5 linked regions of the Canis lupus familiaris genome follow. The protein of the gene in region 2 purifies or fractionates together with the protein of the main gene of each other region. This does not show direct contact. Links are inferred from orthologs where the notes say so. Each region holds a gene or a part of one and is shown on either strand. Other genes may lie near its edges.

Evidence for each region.
Region 1: the proteins of PNMA2 (region 2) and RECQL4 purify together in Homo sapiens (affinity purification with mass spectrometry; 3 studies listed by BioGRID and IntAct, with this or other methods). This does not show direct contact. The link is inferred for Canis lupus familiaris from reciprocal best matches to the Homo sapiens genes PNMA2 and RECQL4.
Region 3: the proteins of PNMA2 (region 2) and PKN2 purify together in Homo sapiens (affinity purification with mass spectrometry; 3 studies listed by BioGRID and IntAct, with this or other methods). This does not show direct contact. The link is inferred for Canis lupus familiaris from reciprocal best matches to the Homo sapiens genes PNMA2 and PKN2.
Region 4: the proteins of PNMA2 (region 2) and TRIM33 purify together in Homo sapiens (affinity purification with mass spectrometry; 3 studies listed by BioGRID and IntAct, with this or other methods). This does not show direct contact. The link is inferred for Canis lupus familiaris from reciprocal best matches to the Homo sapiens genes PNMA2 and TRIM33.
Region 5: the proteins of PNMA2 (region 2) and CEP290 purify together in Homo sapiens (co-immunoprecipitation; 3 studies listed by BioGRID and IntAct, with this or other methods). This does not show direct contact. The link is inferred for Canis lupus familiaris from reciprocal best matches to the Homo sapiens genes PNMA2 and CEP290.

The regions. Positions count from the first base shown.
Region 1 is NC_049234.1:38,680,288-38,684,685, forward strand, and holds the end of RECQL4 (ATP-dependent DNA helicase Q4), read right to left. Parts: intron 4,129-4,398; coding exon 3,790-4,128; intron 3,716-3,789; coding exon 3,536-3,715; intron 3,463-3,535; coding exon 3,321-3,462; intron 3,238-3,320; coding exon 2,978-3,237; intron 2,886-2,977; coding exon 2,609-2,885; intron 2,523-2,608; coding exon 2,393-2,522; intron 2,312-2,392; coding exon 2,142-2,311; intron 2,050-2,141; coding exon 1,869-2,049; intron 1,801-1,868; coding exon 1,644-1,800; intron 1,527-1,643; coding exon 1,418-1,526; intron 1,313-1,417; coding exon 1,188-1,312; 3' UTR 975-1,187; downstream 1-974. Other genes in the region: MFSD3 (major facilitator superfamily domain-containing protein 3), read left to right, coding at 53-200, 282-406, 474-583, 682-855. UniProt on the Homo sapiens protein: An ATP-dependent DNA helicase which unwinds dsDNA with a 3'-overhang in a 3'-5' direction. Does not unwind more than 18 bp of dsDNA. May modulate chromosome segregation. The N-terminal domain (residues 1-54) binds DNA Y-shaped DNA better than ss- or dsDNA.
Region 2 is NC_049246.1:31,213,102-31,216,324, reverse strand, and holds part of PNMA2 (paraneoplastic antigen Ma2), read right to left. Parts: intron 2,848-3,223; 5' UTR 2,717-2,847; intron 2,429-2,716; 5' UTR 1,926-2,428; coding exon 831-1,925; 3' UTR 1-830.
Region 3 is NC_049227.1:60,092,356-60,096,637, forward strand, and holds part of PKN2 (serine/threonine-protein kinase N2), read right to left. Parts: intron 3,781-4,282; coding exon 3,637-3,780; intron 3,341-3,636; coding exon 3,265-3,340; intron 2,455-3,264; coding exon 2,280-2,454; intron 2,043-2,279; coding exon 1,916-2,042; intron 1,221-1,915; coding exon 1,090-1,220; intron 1,008-1,089; coding exon 932-1,007; intron 855-931; coding exon 763-854; intron 1-762. UniProt on the Homo sapiens protein: PKC-related serine/threonine-protein kinase and Rho/Rac effector protein that participates in specific signal transduction responses in the cell.
Region 4 is NC_049238.1:52,642,688-52,646,394, forward strand, and holds the end of TRIM33 (E3 ubiquitin-protein ligase TRIM33), read right to left. Parts: intron 2,904-3,707; coding exon 2,853-2,903; intron 2,774-2,852; coding exon 2,561-2,773; 3' UTR 851-2,560; downstream 1-850. UniProt on the Homo sapiens protein: Acts as an E3 ubiquitin-protein ligase. Promotes SMAD4 ubiquitination, nuclear exclusion and degradation via the ubiquitin proteasome pathway. According to PubMed:16751102, does not promote a decrease in the level of endogenous SMAD4.
Region 5 is NC_049236.1:29,492,689-29,496,970, forward strand, and holds the end of CEP290 (centrosomal protein of 290 kDa), read right to left. Parts: intron 2,357-4,282; coding exon 2,277-2,356; intron 1,071-2,276; coding exon 840-1,070; 3' UTR 303-839; downstream 1-302. Other genes in the region: C15H12orf29 (uncharacterized protein C12orf29 homolog), read left to right, coding at 1-63. UniProt on the Homo sapiens protein: Involved in early and late steps in cilia formation. Its association with CCP110 is required for inhibition of primary cilia formation by CCP110.

The sequences.
Region 1 (4,398 bases), on a different chromosome or scaffold from region 2:
AGCGAGGCCCCAAGTGGAGGGAGGTGGGGAGCCTTGCTCGTTCTCCCCACAGGTGAGCAGGGCGCCAGCAGCTTGTTCCCGCTCTTCCTGCTGGACCACGGCATCTCCACCCCAGAGCTGGGGCTGTGGAACGGTGTGGGCGCTGTGCTGTGCTCCATTGTGGGCTCATCCCTGGGCGGGGCCCTGCTGTCCTGGCACTGGTGAGCCTGCCCCAGTGAGCCCGCCCCGGCCCCCTGCCCCCACCCTGCCCCTGCTCCCTGACCTGCCCGTGTGCCCCTCAGGCAACCTCTGCCCCTGCTGAGGTCATTGCTCCGGTTCCGTCTTGGCGGCCTGGCCTGCCAGACCGCCCTGCTCTTCCACCTGGACGGCCCAGGGCTCAGGCTGGGCCCCAGCGCAGCCCTGAGAGGTGAGGGGCTGGCCGCGGGAGGGGAGGAGCGTGGCGCCCTGGGCCCCGCTGACGGTGGCCCTCCCAGGGGCAGCCCTGCTGAGCCTGTGTCTGCAGCACTTGCTGGGGGGCCTGGTTACCACCACCACGTTCACCCTGATGATGCGCTGCAGCCAGCTGACACCCAGTGCCCTGCAGGTGAGAGAGGGCATGGCTGGGGCGTCCAGGGGGCTGCGGGGCTGGACCCAGGCAAACCCTCACCTGATCGCACACCTCATCCCCCCCCACCCCTGCAGGCCACGCACTACAGCCTCCTGGCCACTCTGGAGCTGCTGGGAAAGCTGTTTCTGGGCACGCTGGCCGGAGCCCTGGCTGACAGCCTGGGGCTGCATCTCTGCTTCTCCCTCTTCCTCGCCCTCTCAGGCTTGCCCATTCTGTATCTGAGCCTGGCTCCCAGCACCCTGGCCTGAGCTGGGTGGCCAGCCTGCCTAATAAAGCTGAGCGTGCGCCTAGCTGCCTGGGCTGCATGACGGCCAGGGCTGTCCCAACACCGTAGGGGCCGCCTGTTCAGAAAAGAGGGCTCCTAAGAGTGGCTTGAGCATTTTTTATTCTGCATTTTGGGGCATCCTTGCTCCCACACTTCTGGTGGTGGGCCTTGCCCAGGGTCATCAGTCACTGTCGTGGACATCTGTGCCCTTTTCCCCTGACAAAGTCCACACCGGGCTCCCTGCACACTGGCCACGCAGCCCCCAGCGCGTGCCTGTCGTGACACGAGGGAGCAGGGCCCGCCCCAGCAGGGTGGTCAGGGGCCGCACCGCAGGATCTCCTCTGTGGCTATGCGCATCAGGGCCTGGAAGCTGAGGTGCAGGAATCTCCTCCAGAAGCGCCGGTCCCGCCCGTACACCTGTGCCGGGTAGCGGGGGCTTCCTGTGGTGGGAAGGGGTCGCGGCCCTGAGGACTCTGGGCCAGGCCTGGCTCCTAGCCCCACACCTAGCCCCTGCCCGGTCCGAGCCCAGCCTCCCGGGCCCTCACCGATGCCGTGGAAGATACGGGCCACGGCCCTGCCTGAGAACTGCTGGTCTGGCCATGAGGACAGCAGGCGGTGGACGTCCTGGCGAACCTGGTCCTCCCAGTCCTGGATCTATGGGTGGTGGCAGTGGAGCGTGTGAATGTGTGCGCACCCATGCGTGCCCGTGGCCTCCCAACCCTGCTGCGGGCTTGTATTCTCTCCACAATCCCAAGAGGGACTAGCACCCACCTTCTCCTGTCCGGGCTCCAGGCCCTGCTCATCTTCCGAGCCCCCTGGACCCTCCTCCTCCTCCTCCTCGAAGTAGCCGCTGAGTAAAGCCTTGAGCCTGGTGCTGCGTTCCTCATCAGGCTGCTCCAAGCAGGGCCCGCAGCTGGGGAAGGCCACGCTGTGGAGCAGGGTTCCGTTAGAGCGGCTCACTACGCCTGCCCCAGCCCCCGCCCACCCCTCCCCTACCTGAGAAAGGCCTGGAAGGTGCGGCGCAGGCGGGCCAGGGCCTCCTGCTCTCGGGCCTGTATGTGTCCATACAGGAAGTCACAGATCTGGTCCCTCTCATGGGCAGTCAGGTCCCCAGGACTGTGCACACAGAAGGCGAGCTCCCCGAACTCCACCTGCACCCCCGTGCCCCCATGTGCACCTGCCAGAGAGCTCATTAGACACGGGCAAGCAGGTGGCACGCAGGCCTGGGGGCTGGGCAGGGCTGTGGGCTGGGCTGGGGGCAGGGCGCACCTGTCCTGGGCTTCGGGTCCCACTGCAGCTGACGGAGAGCCTGCCGCACGCGGCCCAGCTTCCAGCCCAGCGAGTCAGCCAGGTTAAAGACGTCAAACTCTACAGAAGAGCTTCCCCCATCTGTGGTATCCGCTGGCTGCTGGGCCAGACACACAGCCAGCAGGGGGCACCTGGGCCAGGGGGAGGGACATATGATTAGCAGTTCCAGTCCTGTGTCCCGGGCCCCAGCCGGGGGTGGGACACGTGCTCACCTGCGGGCCAGGGCCTGGAGCTGGGTGGGGCCCCCAGGGCAGTGCAGGCGGCACTGGGCATAGGTGGGTGGCAGCAGCTGCAGCCAGCGCTGCGGGTGTAGCTCCAGGTAGCACAGCAGGGTCTCGATGGCTGCAGGCAGAGCAGGGCTCAGGGGCCGTGGGGACGTGGGGACATGGGCATGAGGGGGGTGCCCACCCCTGCCCCCAGGTCCTCACCCTCCTCAGGCATGTCCAGGGCTTCCACCAGTGCCTGCATGGGCAGTGCCCGCGTGTGGCCTGGGCACCGGGCTGTGCCTTTGCTGTTGGGTTGCTCGGCCTCCGTCGGGGATGGGGCCACAGGCTGCTCTTGACTCCTGGCTCCCTCCTGCTCCGAAGGCCGTGGGGCATGGGTGCAGGTGCAGGGCGGGAATGCGCGCTGGACCAGCTTCTTCATAGTGAGAAAGTCCGTGGCATCAGCGTGCACGTGTCTGCGCAACTCCTGCAGGTCCTGGCTCTGCAAGAGAACGGCCGTGGACACGTGGCTATGGGGTGGGGCGGAGTGGGGTGGGCTGGGCTGGGTGGAGCTTGAGTGGGGCAGGTGAGAACCTGGGGCTGCAGGAAGAGGTGGCAGTGTGCAGGCTGGCCGTCACGTCCGGCCCGGCCCACAGCCTGCACGTAGCTCTCGAAGCTGGCAGGCAGCCCCAGGTGCAACACAGCCCGCACGTCTGGCCGGTCCAGCCCCATCCCGAAAGCCACCGTGGCCACCACCACCCGCAGCCGGCCCTCCATGAAGGCCTGTTGCACGCGCTGCCGCTCCCGCGGACACATGCCGGCGTGGTAGGCCTCGGCGACAGCCTCGGACTGGCCTGCGGGGGAAGACACAGGTGGTTGGCTGGGATGTGGGGGGGGGTGGGCGGGCGGGTGCAGGGCACAGTCCTGCTGACCTCACCTCCAGGCCTGAGGTCCCAGGCCTCACGCAGGCAGGTGCGGAGCAGCGCAGCAACTCGCTCTGTGTCCCCGCGTCTGTGGCAGTAGACGATGACTGAGCTCAGAGCGCGAAAGCGATCACTCTGCAGCAGCGTCACCAAAGCCTAGTGGGGGACAGTGCTCAGGAAGGGGTCATCACAAGGCAGTGCCCCTACCTGGCCCAGGGTGCTCATCTACCTGGTCTGGGTCCCTGTCCCTGGACACAGAGAGGTGCAGGTTGCTGGGGACGGTGGCTGGCCCCCTGAGGACCAGATCCTCGGCCACACCTAGATGCCGGGCCACATCTCTTGCGGTGCTGCGTGTGGCCGTGGCTGTGAGACCCAGGAAGCAGCGCACGCCCATGTGTTCCCGCAGCACCTGTGTGGGAGCAGTGCCTGTGAAGGGACCCAACCCCCCTCCCTGGCCTGCCCGTGCGCACCTCTGAGGCTCACCTTGCAGACACGCAGGTAGCAGGGCCGGAAGTTGTGGGACCACTGGGAAATGCAATGGGCCTCATCGATGCAGGCGAAGGCGACCGGAGGCAGCTGAGGGAGGTGGCCAGGCATCCCCGCCCCAGCCCCCACCAGCGTCTCGGGTGACAGCACCAGCAGCTGCACCTGGGCCGCGTGAACCTGAAGACGCAAGGTCAGGCGTGTCACCGAGGGCCGGCTGCCCCCCTGCCTGTCCTGCCACGTGAGGCCCCTCACCTTCTGCAGGGCCGACTCGCGCTGCTTCTGGCTCATGCCCGAGTGGATGCAGACCCCCTTCAGGCACGGGGGTAAGCTGGACACCTGTGGGTACAGGGTGACAACCGGATGGCCCTTCCTCACAGGCCCCTCATCTGCTCAGCCTGACAGCTGCTGCCCTCGGCCTTGGGTGCCCCAGGAACAAAAAGCTCAGGTCACGGACCCCATGACTACAGACTCAGGGCCATCGGGGAGCCTTAGTTCAGGAGCCCCGGGAGCAGACGGGCTGCCCCCTCCCCAGGGTCGTTCTCCCTGGGGGAATCCCGCCTGAGCAGCCGTGTCCCAGCTGCCCTCGGGCCACTGCCAGGCCTTGAC
Region 2 (3,223 bases):
TATTCTCTGATCAGAATGGTCTGCTCATAAAATCCAATCCTCCCTCTCTAGCATGCCTTCCCATAATGTGTACACTTTTTTGAAGGTGTCTTGCACACTGTAGATCTCTTGAAAGCAGGGATTAGGCTGAGTCATGGGTATCTTGAGGGCCTATCATAGTGCCTGGAACCAACCATCTGACACCTAGCGGACAAGTAGAGGAGTGCATCCGAAGTAAAGAAAAAGAAACATCATAGCGGAAGTGGTTGTATTCATTTGGCAATGGTGCTTCTACTGGGGTTGTGACTTATTTACACATTAGGTCATTTAGCTTCTCCCATGCAGAGGCCACATCCTCAATGAGGCAGTAAAGCTCCTTGAGAGCATGGCCCATGCTCCTGGGTGTAGGACTCTTGCCTGCTTGACCAGTGCTTCACACTGCTAGGCACTCAGAAAGAATGTGCTGATTTGAGAAAGGAAATCCACCTGACAAGTCAAAAAGCTCGGATTTTTAAATAGATTACAAAAGATATTTTGTTCCTCATGTCATTTCTTTCTTTCATGGTATGGGTAAACTTTGGTCTATTGGGGAAACTTCAAGTGCTTCAGATTCCTTCAGACTTCCTATCGCATATTTGGAATTGAATCCAGTGTTTAGTCATCATCTATATAGGGTCCAAGAAACTCTGGGATACTTTTTTTTTTTTTCTTAGAAAGAAGAATCAAGACCTGGCTTGAAAGCTTCGATTTCAGTTGCATCCATTTAAAGACAAAAATAGCCACCCGGTCTTAGCCGGATAAAAGGAAATGTCCCGAGGTGCACTGGCTGTGCACTGGCTCCAAGCTGGTTTTTAGTCATCTGCCTCGTCATCCCAGTGGCCATAGCCATCCCCTTCATCTGGCTCTTCAATATTCTCATTTTCAAAAGAGGCCTCTTCCTCCTCTTCCTCCCGGATTATCTTCATTAACTCAAGGAAGTTGGGAGGCGGGCCCTGATCCTTCAGCTCCCTCAGCCTGCACCAAAGGACTTCGCTAAGGCTGGCCCCTGCCATGACCTGCTCCAGCCGGACCTGATCTGCGATATTCCTGGGGATGGCTCGTTTCTCCACGGCCCGCCGGAGCAGGGTTTCTAACCGCAACAGGTAGGCTGAGACCTTCTCCCCCTCCTCCTGATAGGTCTTCAGGTACTTCACCTGGGAGGTCCTGCGGCTCTCAAGGCTTCCAAACACTTGCTTAAACGCCTCCAAACACTCTTCCACGCTTATGGCCGCATTGTCTGCTTGTACTATATGCATGAGGTCCAGGGCAGGGCCACGCAGGCTTTCCATCAACCACCTTTTCTTTTCTGCCTCTGCAACTGGCCACTCTTTGACGATCTCAGTGGCCTGTTCCAACCAGATTTCAAAGGGCTCTTCTTCCGGGGCAGGCACAGCGCTCCCTGAGAACACTCTCAGTTTCCGGTATCTCATGGGGAGCAGAGGCTGAGGGGCATGTGCCATCGCCTGTCCCAACAAATGAGCCAACAGCTCTGGTGATACGCAGGGCACTGTGGCTGGAGACATTCCCTCATGCCCGAGGGCTCGGAACATACCTGAGACCGTCTGCCCCTCTTTTTCCAGAAAGAGGTTCAGTCGTTCCAGAAACTCAGTGTCCTGGTTAGGGGTCTTAAAGATGACTTTCCAGATACCCCCCTTTCCCCGTACCTCACTGGGGATCACCGAGACGTCAACATCCTCCATAAGCTCCAACAAGACAGCATTGGCATTGTCCTGCTTCCTGAATATTTTGCCAAGCAGTCTATACCTGCCCAGAGACTTTAGGGTCTCCTGGAGAACCTCCTGAATCTCAGCCTCATCACAGTCCACCGGTATCCCCATAACCACCAGTGATTTCTGTTCATCCACGCTCATGATCCTGCACCAGTCCTCCAACAGCGCCAGCGCCATCGTCCAATTATCACTCACCCTAACTCTCTGGCCACCCAATAGTTTGTGGTGTGGCGAGGCACTGCCTTAGGACTCAGAGTATCCTGGGTGAGCTCCTGATTTTATTATACTCTACCAGCGACTGGGGCCTGGCCACTCCAACAGCAGTCCCAAAGGCTTCTGGACCAATAACCCTTACTTGCCCAGTGGCAAGAACTCAGCACTTCCAGTTATGTCTCTAGACCTGACCCAAGGCAGGTGGTTCCTATCAAGGTTATGACCTTGCCACTGCCTGTTGCTCTGCGGTCCAGTGGCTGCTGTGGCTCTCCCTGATGCCAGCAGCCACGTGGTGGTGTTGACCCTCCTCCGACTGCCCGAGGCACCTGCAAGGGCTGCTTTTGCCACTCTCCCAAGTCTTGGCTGCCTCGCTTCACCTCTCCTCTCGCACTAGTCACTGGGAGAGGCCTCCACTCTGGCACCCAGAACTCCTGGAGAGAAGTGTCACCGCAGGGGTGCTTGGACTCCTAGTGAAACAATGGCCAGTTTTACCACATAGCCCTTTCCTTCTGGGGGAGCATCGTGCTTTGGTTCATGATGGAAGTAGGGGTTCCATCTCACATTGGATTTGCACCTACCCCACTGTTAGACCTCTTCTTTGCATAGGGTGACTTTTTTTCTCTTGGGGACCCTCCTGCAATCTGGCTTCCCCACCATTTGCTCATTAGACATGCCAATTAATGTCTGAGCCCCAATTGTGGACAGGACTCAAGATGTTCCCCATGTTAAGAGCAAAATCAGGTGTGGCTAGATACCTGTTACGCGATCCAATTGTTCCGTGAGAGTCACGAGCTTATTTATTCAGCTTCTAGAAAAGGAAGATGTCACCCAACTCCACACAATGGTGTGTCTGGGTCTTTCTTAGCTCCAGCCAAGCCAAACTGCCCTGTTACACATAGATAATAAGAGTATATATTTATGGCTTGATAATATCCAGTGATGAGGACTGTTAATGCACTTATTAAAAAAAATGACAGTCTTTTACAACTTAGTTAAATCTACGAATCGATATCAAGTTGCTGCATTTCTTTAATTAAAAAAATCCAGTTAGAAATCACTCAAACATTTAAAACCAATATAGGTATAACAATTTAATTTACATACTACACTTTAATATAATATAGTATAATATAAAGTAATATAGGCATAATAATTTAGTATAGGTTTAACAATTTTTTAAAAAATTGGACCAAATAAATCAAACCTGGAATTACAAGTCAATTCCCTTTTGTTATGTCTGGGCAGGCTTTACAAATGCAATG
Region 3 (4,282 bases), on a different chromosome or scaffold from region 2:
TCATAGTCCTAGGCTCTTTTCATAGATAGAGCTGTCTTTTATTAATATCAACTGATGCTTTCAAGTGGTTTAAAACAAATACTGCTTATAAATATCAAATGAAAGTCTCTGTCATATATGTCACTTGTTATACAATAATTTTATATTTAATCATCTTATTAAGATAGTCTTTTTAAAGGTATTCTCTAACCTAATTATAATATTGTCCCCCAAATCCTTGCATTTTAAAAATTGCATATAATGATGTATCCATATCAATTTATATTTATTAAACCCAGACAGGTAAGATGTTCTGGTCAAAAAATATCACTTTAAGAAAAATGAAAGAAAAAATAGATTTGGTGCATTTTAAAAAGCAGAATGTATTAACCATTCAAGTTGAGTGCAGATTACCTATAAATGACACTGTATTACTTCTGTAATATGAAATGGGAAATAGTCTCCCCCAACCACAGATGAGTAACAGTTCCTATTCCATATAAACACTTTACCATCTCCAAGTATAAAAAACTTAATACAATTAACTTAAATATTTCATCATCTTTCCTTGGTAGCCACTAACCAATAAACCTTCATAAGAAGTTGGCTAGAAAGAAAAACAATAATTAATGCCTACCTTACACAAGTATAGCTACATTAATTTAGTTTCTCCACATATTATGGAAATGGAAAGTTTTGCTGTTGCAATATATACGTCAATTTGCATGATCTTAAGTTAGAACTTCAGAAAAATAAACAATTTCACTAAAAAAAAAAACTAACCTGTCTACTTCATCTCGAGCCACAATGTCTCCTTTCTTTAAGGCTTTTATAGCAAACATCTCGTTTGTGTGTTTATATTCAGCCAAAAGCACCTGAAATGAGATTAAAATAAGTATTTTCTATTTGAGTTATTACTTTGTAGTCAGTCCAAGAAAATTTAAGAGATTACCTTTCCAAAATGTCCTCTACCCAAGACAGCACAACATCTGAAGTCTTGTAGATTAAACTGAAACATCTGTTGAGATCTGAAAACAGTATGTCAATTAAAAATAAGGTAAAACCATGGGTCACAACATGTAGTAACAAAGCTGTATATATATTCTTTACCTTCTATCCTCAAGTTCTCGAATACCACTGTATCCTAGGCCTGGTTGAGGAATATTAGGTTCATATTCAGATGGAGATTTCGGAAGTATACTATTTCTGTCATTCTCAATATCAAAAACAGTTTCTGAATCCTATAAAATATTACATACTTATTTAATTATAGAAATATTGAGAAATGAATTATTTGGTAAAGATAAAGTTTAAAAATGTCAAAAGCCAATACAAATATTAGCAAGAATGTAAAATTCAGAAAATGGATATTTATTCTTAGTTATTATTCTATATTACACTTATCTAAAATATTTGAAAAATGAACACATTACTGTCATCTTCAATGAATATTTAGAAATCATGTTAACCAAGTTACAAGATAGAGTTTTTGAAGCAATATATCATCTAATATCAACCATGGGGATCCCTGGGTGGCGCAGCGGTTTGGCGCCTGCCTTTGGCCCAGGGCACGATCCTGGAGACCCAGGATCGAATCCCACGTCGGGCTCCCGGTGCATGGAGCCTGCTTCTCCCTCTCTCCCTCTGCCTGTGTCTCTGCCTCTCTCTCTCTGTGACTATCATAAATAAAAAATAAAAAATAAAAAAATAAAAAAAAAATAATATCAACCATGTTCCTGTGATTTTAGCTTCAGCAGCCTATTCTATCTGTACTGGCCCATGAGCACCCAGAGGTTTTATGTTTCACTCACAAGAAACATAAAAACATAGTTCACGCAATTTTTTAATTAACGGAAAGGTACATCTCATTCAGTATGATGCTTTTATCAATAATTCATTTGGTAAAAGGAATTATACAAGGTTTAAAATGCCTTACCTGTGCTGGTGTATCTAAATCTCTTAATTTAGCAGATTCATCTATTTCTCCAAGGGAAGAATCCCGTGGTGGGGCCGGAGGAGGTTCAGGTTCGAGATCAAAGTCCAACTTGGTTACTGTAGAATCACTTACAAAAGATAAAGTAATTCACCAAAAACAGTAATCAAAAGTATATATTCTAAATAGCTTTGAAAGTAAAGCAAACAATTTTATCTTTTACATTTTTTTAAAGTAAGCAGAACATTAATTTCAAAATACTACTTGGAAAAAAATCAGACTTTTAATAGACTCATTGTCATCAGTATATATGAATGTTACAATAACTATTTCATAAGAACGATGCCTAAAAATCTTAGACACATACCTAGCTGGAGGTGCTAGTTCAGGGATGCGTACATCAACCACTGGCACTGTAGTAGGCACAGGAGCTTGAGGGCTGAAGGTGCCAGAATGATTTACTGTAGGAATAGCTCTTCTTACTAGCCTTCCCCAAGTGGCAATATTAATATTCATTTGAGGAGCTCTGAGAAATGTTTTGCCTGTGGATATTGTGAATAAAGAAAATAGAATAAGTAATTTTTATATGTTACCAAAAGCCATAATTTAAAAATCCATATTCATTGGTTTATAATTTATGAAGAACAAATAAAATTTGTCACTTAAAAAAATAGTTCTTAACTATTTGTTATTAAAGGCTAGTGCAAAATAGTGAATATAGTTTTAAAAATAAATAAGTAGGCACTGTTACTTTTTTTAAGTCTAACAATGATATGCGGCTAAAGTTTAAGAAATAATTCTCTTAAAAAAAAAAAAAAAGAATGGGGCACCTAGGTGGTTCAATAGGTTGAGCATCTGCTTTCAGCTTGGGTCATGATCTCCGGGGTCCTGGGATCAAGCCCCACATGGGGCATCCTGCTCAGTGGGGACTCTGCTTCTTCCTCTCCCTTTGCCTCTCCCCTACCTCATGCACTCTCACATGCTCTGTCTCAAATAAAGAAATAAAATCTTAAAAAAAAAAAGTTAGAGATACTAACTTTAATACTTATGGATTAACCAGTATATGGATTAACCAGTATAACCAGTATACACGTCTGCTTCATGTAATCTGAGGTATATATGGATGGGATATAGATAAAATCAGCCATGAGCTGTTGTTGAGGCTAAGTGATGGTACATGGTACTAATCTCTCTACTTTTGGGTATGTTTGAAATGTTCCTTAATAAAAAAAGTTAGAAACGAATAAATAAAAGGAAAACAAAAAAACAAAGATGGGTATCACTTTTAAATGCAGATTTCCTATGTATAAGAATACACTAAAAGACACTGTATTTGATTCCTTAGTAACTACCTTGTTGTTTTGAAAAAATTTTCTTTTGTCTTTGGAGTTTGGGTCTTCTTTCAATAACTGGATTAAAAAAGGTAACCTGCAGGGAAGAAAATTCAATTTGACATGAGTATAGCTTTGGATTTATGGTTCATGAAATTTGGAAACTTAAGATATAGATATAATTTAAGCCCAACTTCTCATTTTCTAGGTGAGAAAACAGACCTATAGAGGATAAATGATTTGTCTTAAGGTAATACCTATGCAGTAGTGGAACTGGGCCAAGAATTCAAGTTGTCTGTTGTTCAGCCTAATACTCTTTCCATTCTACATCATGCTGCCTACATATATAATTTCAATTATAGTAATGCATATTTAATAAAATACATTTATTACCTCTGCAAATAAAGTACCCTGTGGTTCCAAATAGAGACACATGCCATGCCGTTGGTTGTCTAAAAAATCTTCTAACCTCAGAAATTTTACAGCACACAGAGATCGCCAATCACGCCAATAAACTGAAATTTCCAGTTCACGTGACTAGGATAATTAAAAAAAAAAAAATAAAGAAAACAGAAGACATCATTGGACACACACTTGAATAAAAGATCACAAAAAATATAAAATACAAATACAATAAACAAAGATAACACACACAAAAGTCACACTATTTTAAAGAGTGCTTTGTAATGTTTCTCTACTATATATTAATAAACTTATATATTTTAACTCTAAGGAAGAAATTTACATTCCAACAGTCTCCAGCTAAGATATTCCTTTTTTATAAAGTATACACAACTAGGAACAACCAATACAGATATATGACCACAGAAACTCTGCTCAATGCCATAGCTTCAGTCTTTCAGATTTTCCTTTTCCTCTTGGTATCATTACTCTGCTACTAGTGAAAGACCTCAGTGCTCTCTTCAAAGAATACATTTCAAAACTGTCTTATTTCCTTGTCCCAACTTGAGTCAGAGAAGGTCTGCAGACAGTATTTATTCTGTAATTACAGTGTGCCACACACTGTGCTAAGCACTTT
Region 4 (3,707 bases), on a different chromosome or scaffold from region 2:
TTTTTGAAAAATAAACTAGTAGAAAAACATGAAGATATCTGAATACCAATTTAAGTTTTTATATTTTTTACCGGTTATATTAGATAGTGGCTGAACAAATCAGCTTAAGAACACAGTGATTAGTGTACAAGAAAAAAAGCTTCAGTGAAATCTAAACCCTCATTTAAGGGTGGTTGACAGCTATTTACTTAATAGTAAATTCTCAGTAGTATGAACTGTCTTCTATTAAGAGAAATGGAGCATATTACACGTTGACAATAAAGTGGCTTTTCAAAAACCAATCTCAAAAAAAAAAAAAAAAAAAAAGAATTCCACCTCACATAGAAAGGGAACACTATCTTTTAAGGCCCCAAATATCAAGAAATAAATATTTACTTAAAATTTAATTTCTCCCCCATGGATAGAACCTATGTATAAGACTTTTTCTAAGAATCATGAAAGGATTCATCTGAAGAGCAAGTGTAAAATATTAGAAATCAATGGCTTGACAAAAGGAAGTTATACTGCTACTCAGTGCTTTCCAAAACGTGCCCTTAGATATGACTCCTGATAAACTGAAATCATAAATGTGGTGGTAAAGAGGGAAATACACATAAATAAAGCATTTTAAAATGATTCTCTCCCTCGTTTAAGAAAATTCTTCTTACGTACCTGAAATTTGAGTAAAATGATAAAAGTTTGGTGTAAATTTTAAAGCTGAACTTATAACAAGAAGCTAAAAAGAAGCCACAGAATGAAGTTAGTCAACAGCTGTAATAAAATCAACACCACTTACATACACCATCAGAAGGCCTGAATAATATTCATGTTTACCCCCAACACTTGTTAAGAAAAGAAAAACCCAAAGGAATTTGTATAATAATTTCTTTAGAGCACTTTATTTGATTCAATATGCACTAAAAAATATTTACCTTAGACAATTATGTCAAATAATTTTTACTGAGTAGTCTACTGTCCGAACTGCAGAAGCTGAAGTTTTAAAAAGGCAAACGATTTGCCACAAATCTGCTGACGTCTGAAAAATATCTAATGGCAAGTCTTCTATTTTGGTCACTTTATATTTTAAGGTGTCCATACAAAAGTAGGACTAAATTTTTTTTAATCCAACAAAAGAGAAGCCTGTACACAGTCTAGAACACACATCTTGGATCTGAGCATCACAAATGAAGAGAAGAAAAATGAAACCAAGCCAAGGTGGTTTACCTGTCTCAGGGGCTGAACTCAGGGTAGTAAAGGTGGGTTTACTCCAGTAACCATTCAAGTGGGGATTGGCTCATTTTCAGGATTTACTTACAGGCCTCTTCTAAGTCCGTTAAGCCCCCAGTCCATGCAAATGTCCCACTTGGTGGACAGATGAGTAATCTAACCCCACCGGGTTTATTTTAATAGTTTTGATATTTAATAATAAGCTGCTTCTGAAGATTTTCTGAGAAGTCTGTTCTCTATTAAAATAAGATAGAACCTCAAAATATGAATGTGAACATTAGAAATAGACAGCATATATTACAAATCCATTCTTGATAGGAACATTAGTAAGAATACACATTAGCTTAAAAAACAGGCTCAGCAAATGTTGCTGATCTGCCAGAAGTTTTAGTTCACTATTTACAAATAAGACAAAGTGAAATACAGAAAATTTTACACATTTGGTAGTTGACAGATTATTGTTTGCCAATAGTGGTCTATCAGAAAACTGATATGAAGGAAGACTGGATAAGAGCCAGTGGTCACCTTCTCAATCAAATTTAAATGTACAGAAAACTAGATTAATTTTGAAACAAACATTCTGCCTTTGATGGGAGTAACTTTATGATTAAATGATCTGACTGGGAAGTGCGATTCCATGGAAGTGTTTCTCTGGAAATGACTACTATATGATCTGCCACTGAAAAGTTACCATATTTATTTCAGCAGACCATTAAAATTGATTAAATGATGATCAATGATGTTTCCTAGACTCCAGGTATAAATAGAAAATAAAACTACTGTTGAGTTCTTTAAACCAATATAAAAACTAAGGTCCAACAGCATCAAAGGGAGAAAAAATATAATGGCATGATTCAATGCACATCTGCATTGACATCAAAGCGGAATCTGAGCAACTTTGATTTTACCTAGAAAAAAAACTGGTATGTATGTGTGTGGAAGGGGAGGCATGGAAGTCGTTTTTAATAGCTGTGCACTCTTGTCCAAGAGACAATTTATCAAACGACATGACCTTCAAGTATTTACTTGTACACCAGCATCCTGCAGCAATCAATACCACATGATCACCAACATCTGCCATTCTAAAGAACCATCCTTTTTAGTAACAGAAATCTTCAAATCATTTCACTTTTACTTTTCGTTTTTTACTTTTAAAGTTGCAAATAGAGTTCTCTCCCCCTTTCTTCGCAAGAAGTGACTTCTGTCCATTACTTCAATCTAATACTGTGTAAAAGCTATCAGCTTCGTCAAGGAGGTGCCCATTGCAGGCAGGATATTCCAGCAACACTTAAATAAAAAGTTTTCTTTTCTCTCTCTTTCTCTTTTTAAAACAATTATTTAAGTTCATGTCATTTTACTTTATATGTACTGGTCTCTCATCTGACTTTAGGCGTTTTCTGCGGGGCTGTATAAAGTCTTCGTCAGAGTCCTCAGTTACCTCACCATCATCCTCTTCCTGCTCAAACTCTGGCAAAGGTGCGAAGGTCCTGTCTGAGTAGATCTCTGTGAGTTTATCTTCAAAGTACAATGCAACTGCTTTCCCTGCCTGAGCTACTTCTGAATCAGCCTGCAAGCAAAAGATAGGAATATTCACCTATTGGTAATGCATATTCCTTCACCAAGTTTGCATGGTCTGAAAAGCTTACCTTCAAATTAATCTCTTGTGTTTCTGCATAAACTTGAACAACTTTCATCATCTAAAAAGGATACCAGAGTCAAAAAAAAAAAAAGGGAAATTATAATCCTTTCTAAAGTTATGAAACTGCATAGGATTGGTGACGAAAGTCAGCCATATTAGGGGGAACAAATTGCTATAACCAGATCAAGTGCTTTCTAAAATTCTATGGAACATGGAACTACTTTCTTTACAACGTTCTGTTGCTAAAGCTACTGTGAAACCTCAAGAATGGTTTCAAATTCTGAATTAGTAAAGTCAATCTGAAATGGAGGTCAAGTGAATACATCAATCTAATTAAGACCAAAAAATAAATCATTTAAGAAATGTTGCTTTTTTAAAAACTACCAAACCATCAACAAACCACTTATCAGAATTCTATCTGTATGGCAATTTGTTAACCATAAACTATTTAACTATCACTAACGCAGATAAAATGTGTCTTCCTTGCAAATGTTAGCTACAATTCACAAAAGCACATTTATTTGAAAATAATCTAATTGGATTACAAAATATGACAAAAAACTTAGGACTGTATCAATTTAACTTCAAGTAAGTAAGGTTTTACTATACTCTCTGTGGTATACTACTACACTATACATTTAACCTATAAAGATTATTTTTTTCCCCAAATTTTAAAAAGATCACCTAGATGCTTGCAGAGGTAGCTATGAGTATACTTTAAATGATTCAACATGCTTTTAGTAATAGTCATATGGCACCAAATTTCATCAGCAATAAAGAAGATCTTTTACGCTTTTGATCTTTCTAAATATTCTGTAGATTCTTATCCAATTCCATTTTCTTCTCCTAGAAAAATGAAAAT
Region 5 (4,282 bases), on a different chromosome or scaffold from region 2:
CTGGCCAATTCCAGATACTTACATGAATTCAAAACCAGTTGTTATCAACATGAATCTGAACAAGTATGACCATGCCTTTGATACTAAATGTTTGTTTAATCTTTTTTCAAAAATAGATAATCAGAAATTTGGTAGACTCAAAGATATAATACTTGATGTATAAACTAGAAATCCAGTTAAAAATCAGCTTTATTATATTGGAATCTTGAATATTCTGCTATATGTGGAAGGTTTTACATCTCAGAATTCTGTGTTGAAGAGAGCAATATGTCGTCTAGCATTTGAAGAAACGAATTTCCCAGTTGCAAATTTTATTCAGAATTTTATTCAGAACTAGCAAATGAATTTTAACCACAAGACTTAAAAAATGTAATGGTAAGCTCCCCTGCCTGGTACAAAGTTAAAGACTGCAACTAAACCAACAATTCTGGATCATTAATACTTAACATATGGCTATAACCTCATAACATGTTTATATACATGTAAATATATATAAAACTAGATTCTTAACACACATATAAATAAGTATGTATAAAACCCCAATTTTAAATGTTAAAATTAAAATCACCCTATACTCTTTAAAAAACTTAAACATGAATATATACAGAAATTCATCATAGCTCATTTGATAGTCATAACTTACTCTAAAAGTCTTAAAAATATACTTTTCTAGTATGTTTAAAATTTTATATAATTTTATTTACTAAGACTTCAATTTAATAAAGGTACAGGTATGAAGAAAGAAATCATGTAGGTCAGAGACCTGCTTGATTTCCAGATGGAGTTTTAACTTATAAAGTTAATAAATAGTTCAATAAAACTGTAGTTATAGGTAGTCCTTAATAAATGGGGAGATTAGGAGGACTTTCTCCTTCATCTTCAAACTGTTCAGAAGCAGCAATAGGACTAGTTAATTCAACTCCACATTGTTCAGAAAGTTTTCTTAACTTCTCTTCTAAGAGAATATTCTTTTTCACTTCTTCTTTATAATTATACTTCAGATCTTCAATTTCTTCAAAAAATGAAGGATCAAAGTTTTCCAGTTCTTTTTTCAGCTTTTTTATTTCCTCCTAATAGAAACATGATATTTTTGAAAGGTATGTAGGAATATAATACATTCTTTAGATTTAAATTAAAGAAACTTAAATATAAACATAAAATCCAAAGTAACCTGAATAATCAGATATATGCTATACAGGCAGAAGTATTTTCTTAGAATTCTATTAATAAGGTTTCACTGTACAGCATAAGTAACTTGTTAGCTGGCAAATCAAATTATCTATTCTGTAAATTATGCCCTAGTTTTTGACTAAAACTTATTTCTTAAATTAGTGTGTGTGTGTGCATGTGGGGGGGTGTAAACTAGTGGTGGCAACATTTAAGCTTTCTCTAAAAGTATATTAGATACTCTCATTGGGGCAATCAGAAAGACTTGGCTGTTCACAACACAAGTTATTTTGGTTAAGAGTCTTTGGTTTAGGCTTCATTTATATTTTCTTTACAAATACCTATTTTTTTTTAATGAATAACATTTAACTTATAAATATATTTAGAATTTGGGAAACTCTGGGACCTCTACCTGACTAAGAGAAATGTGTAAAGAGAGAATATGAACTTCAGAATAGCTAGTGATCACTAGTTAATTCTTTAGTTTATGCTGTTTTGTTCTGTTTATAGATTCTTTTTTTTTTTTTTTTTTTTTTTTTTTTTTTTTTTTTTTTTAAATTTATTTATTTATGATAGTCACACACAGAGAGAGAGAGGCAGAGACACAGGCAGAGGGAGAAGCAGGCTCCATGCACCGGGAGCCCGACATGGGATTCGATCCCGGGTCTCCAGGATCGCGCCCTGGGCCAAAGGCAGGCGCCAAACCGCTGCGCCACCCAGGGATCCCTGTTTATAGATTCTTTAAGAGATAAAGCATGGCAAATATTTTTCTTTAATAAAAAAGGAGCTCTTCCTGAAAAGAATTTCAAAAGGAAATAAAAGACACTGTTCCCAATGTGGCCCAAAACTTAAGAGTAAAATAATGAGCTATGCTTGTGAGAATTAAAAAATAAATTTCTCTTTAATCCTATTTGTTTTATCTCAGTTTTTTTGTAGCTCTCGTTTAGTATTTTTAACACAGGTGACTATAATGAACTCTGCAATATCAAGGTCAAACATAAGTGTATCACATAACCCCAGTAATTTTTAGGATATATACTTAAAGATAGTCATAAAAGTTGTTTTTAACAGCGGTTTTCACAAAACATAATATAGTTAGATAAAATTACCTTCAAATGCTGCTTTTCTAAATCTGAGGTTTTGAGCTGTGTCTCTAAATCTTTTACTTTTTCCTTTAGTTGATCAGGATCTGCCAAAAAAGTTTTAAAAGTCAGATTCCATTTTTCCCCACTCTGACAAAGGATTTCTTTTAGAGAATAAATAGAAAACTAAACCACGGCCTAGAAAATAGGGCATTTTATGGCTGAAAAACTTTCCAGGCTGTGAATACTGTAATGCTACCTTTTACAGTATTGTAATTCCATAGCAGACCAAGAGAAAAACCATCTGCTGGGTATTAGATGGGTAGAATCAGGGTAATTTTTCTAACCTAGAAGAAATTATTTTCCAGAGAAAAATTCTGATCTGAGCCAGGAAAAATTGTTAGGTACTAAAAGGACAACAAAATAAGTAGACTGTTAGGTAAGGGTCTACAGCCACAGCTGGCCAAATGCTCCTGGTACCCAGCAGTATTGACTATTCCATGAAGTTAGTCCACATTTACTGTGTAATTACTACACGAAAAATATGCCAGTCAGGATGGATAAAACAAAGAGAAATAAATCCTAATGCTATGGTCGGAAAATGTTAAGTACAGTACAAGAGCCTTAATTTCTTGGATCCTTAACCACTCCCCTCACCTGGAGTTAACATCTCTAAATTTATAATGAGAATCAGTGGACAAATGGAACGTTTTATTTCATTGTCATCTTTGCTAGAAACATTTTCTTTAAATTAAACATAACATCTAGTATGTCATGTCATTTTGCAGCCACTGAAGTGTAAAATTTTAAAAGTAATGCTAAACTTTGAGAAATTAATGGTCAGCAAGACACATTTTCATGAATGAGACAGGAAGGTTGGTACTCTATTACAGTTCCCTTGGAATGGTCCCCTAATTATGAGCTGGAGACAAGAAATATTTTCCTCATCCTTTTCTTTGGGAATAGTCAACAGAACTCATCTTCCTTTGGAAAGCAGAGCAAAATGATACTTTTCAAAACTTCTCTCACCTTTGTAGAAAGTACTCGCTATTTTTTATAAAGTCGGTTCTTAATCACCGGAATGCTGTATTGAGTTGATTGTCTTAAAGGGGTGCTATACGTTACACAGCTTAAGAACGTAAAAGTAAAAGTAGTGCAGTAAAAGTAATTACTACGTACAGCACTTTCTGGAGTTTGCTTAAGGTATTGGATTGCATGATTGAAATGGCAAATTCCATACCAAAGAATTATTCCAATTTATACCTGAGCAACCTTTGACTATTTCAAACAGCTTTTTCAATATTCTACTGTACAGTCTTGTTGATACTTTGTATTTAAATAGTGCTTTAGAATTGCCAAGACCATTTCCGTTTGATTTTGAACCTTAGCAATCTTTGAAATATGTTAGGTATCCTTGTGTCCTGTAAATAGATGAGGAATATAAGGTTCTGAAATTCCCTCTCAGGAAACTTAGGTTTAGAGAGACCTTGCCAAACGTCATAGCATCAGAAGGTCTTTGGGGGTGTGCTAGTCTGGTACCCTAAGCTGGCTACTAAAAGAGATACTGTTGAGAGAGATTTACATGACTGTTCTAGTTACCAAAAGGTAGATAAGGCAGTTTGCATGGTCAAAAACAGGGAATGGTGAGGGGCTTTGGAGTTCCATAGATTTAGGTTTCATCCTGCCTGTCAATGCCTAGCTGTTGTGACCTCGTTGCTTAACTTTAAGGTGACAATCCTAGGTAAAACGGAGACAACGGTACCCACCAAACAGCATCTTAAGAGTTAAATTATAAAATGCTTGTAAAAGCACTTAGCATAGTGTCTGGTAAACTCGTACATGATAGCCTTAAAACAAAGTAGTAACAAGAATATGTGGTAGGATACCGAAAAAGGTGTATGAAATAGTCAGACTGTTCGGGTATAAATTGATATAAACCTTTGGAATAGAATTTGCCATTTCCCCATCACACTATTAAATATACATAATAAATGGTTCTTGTTAACATTGATGTTCTCAGAAGTCAACCACGG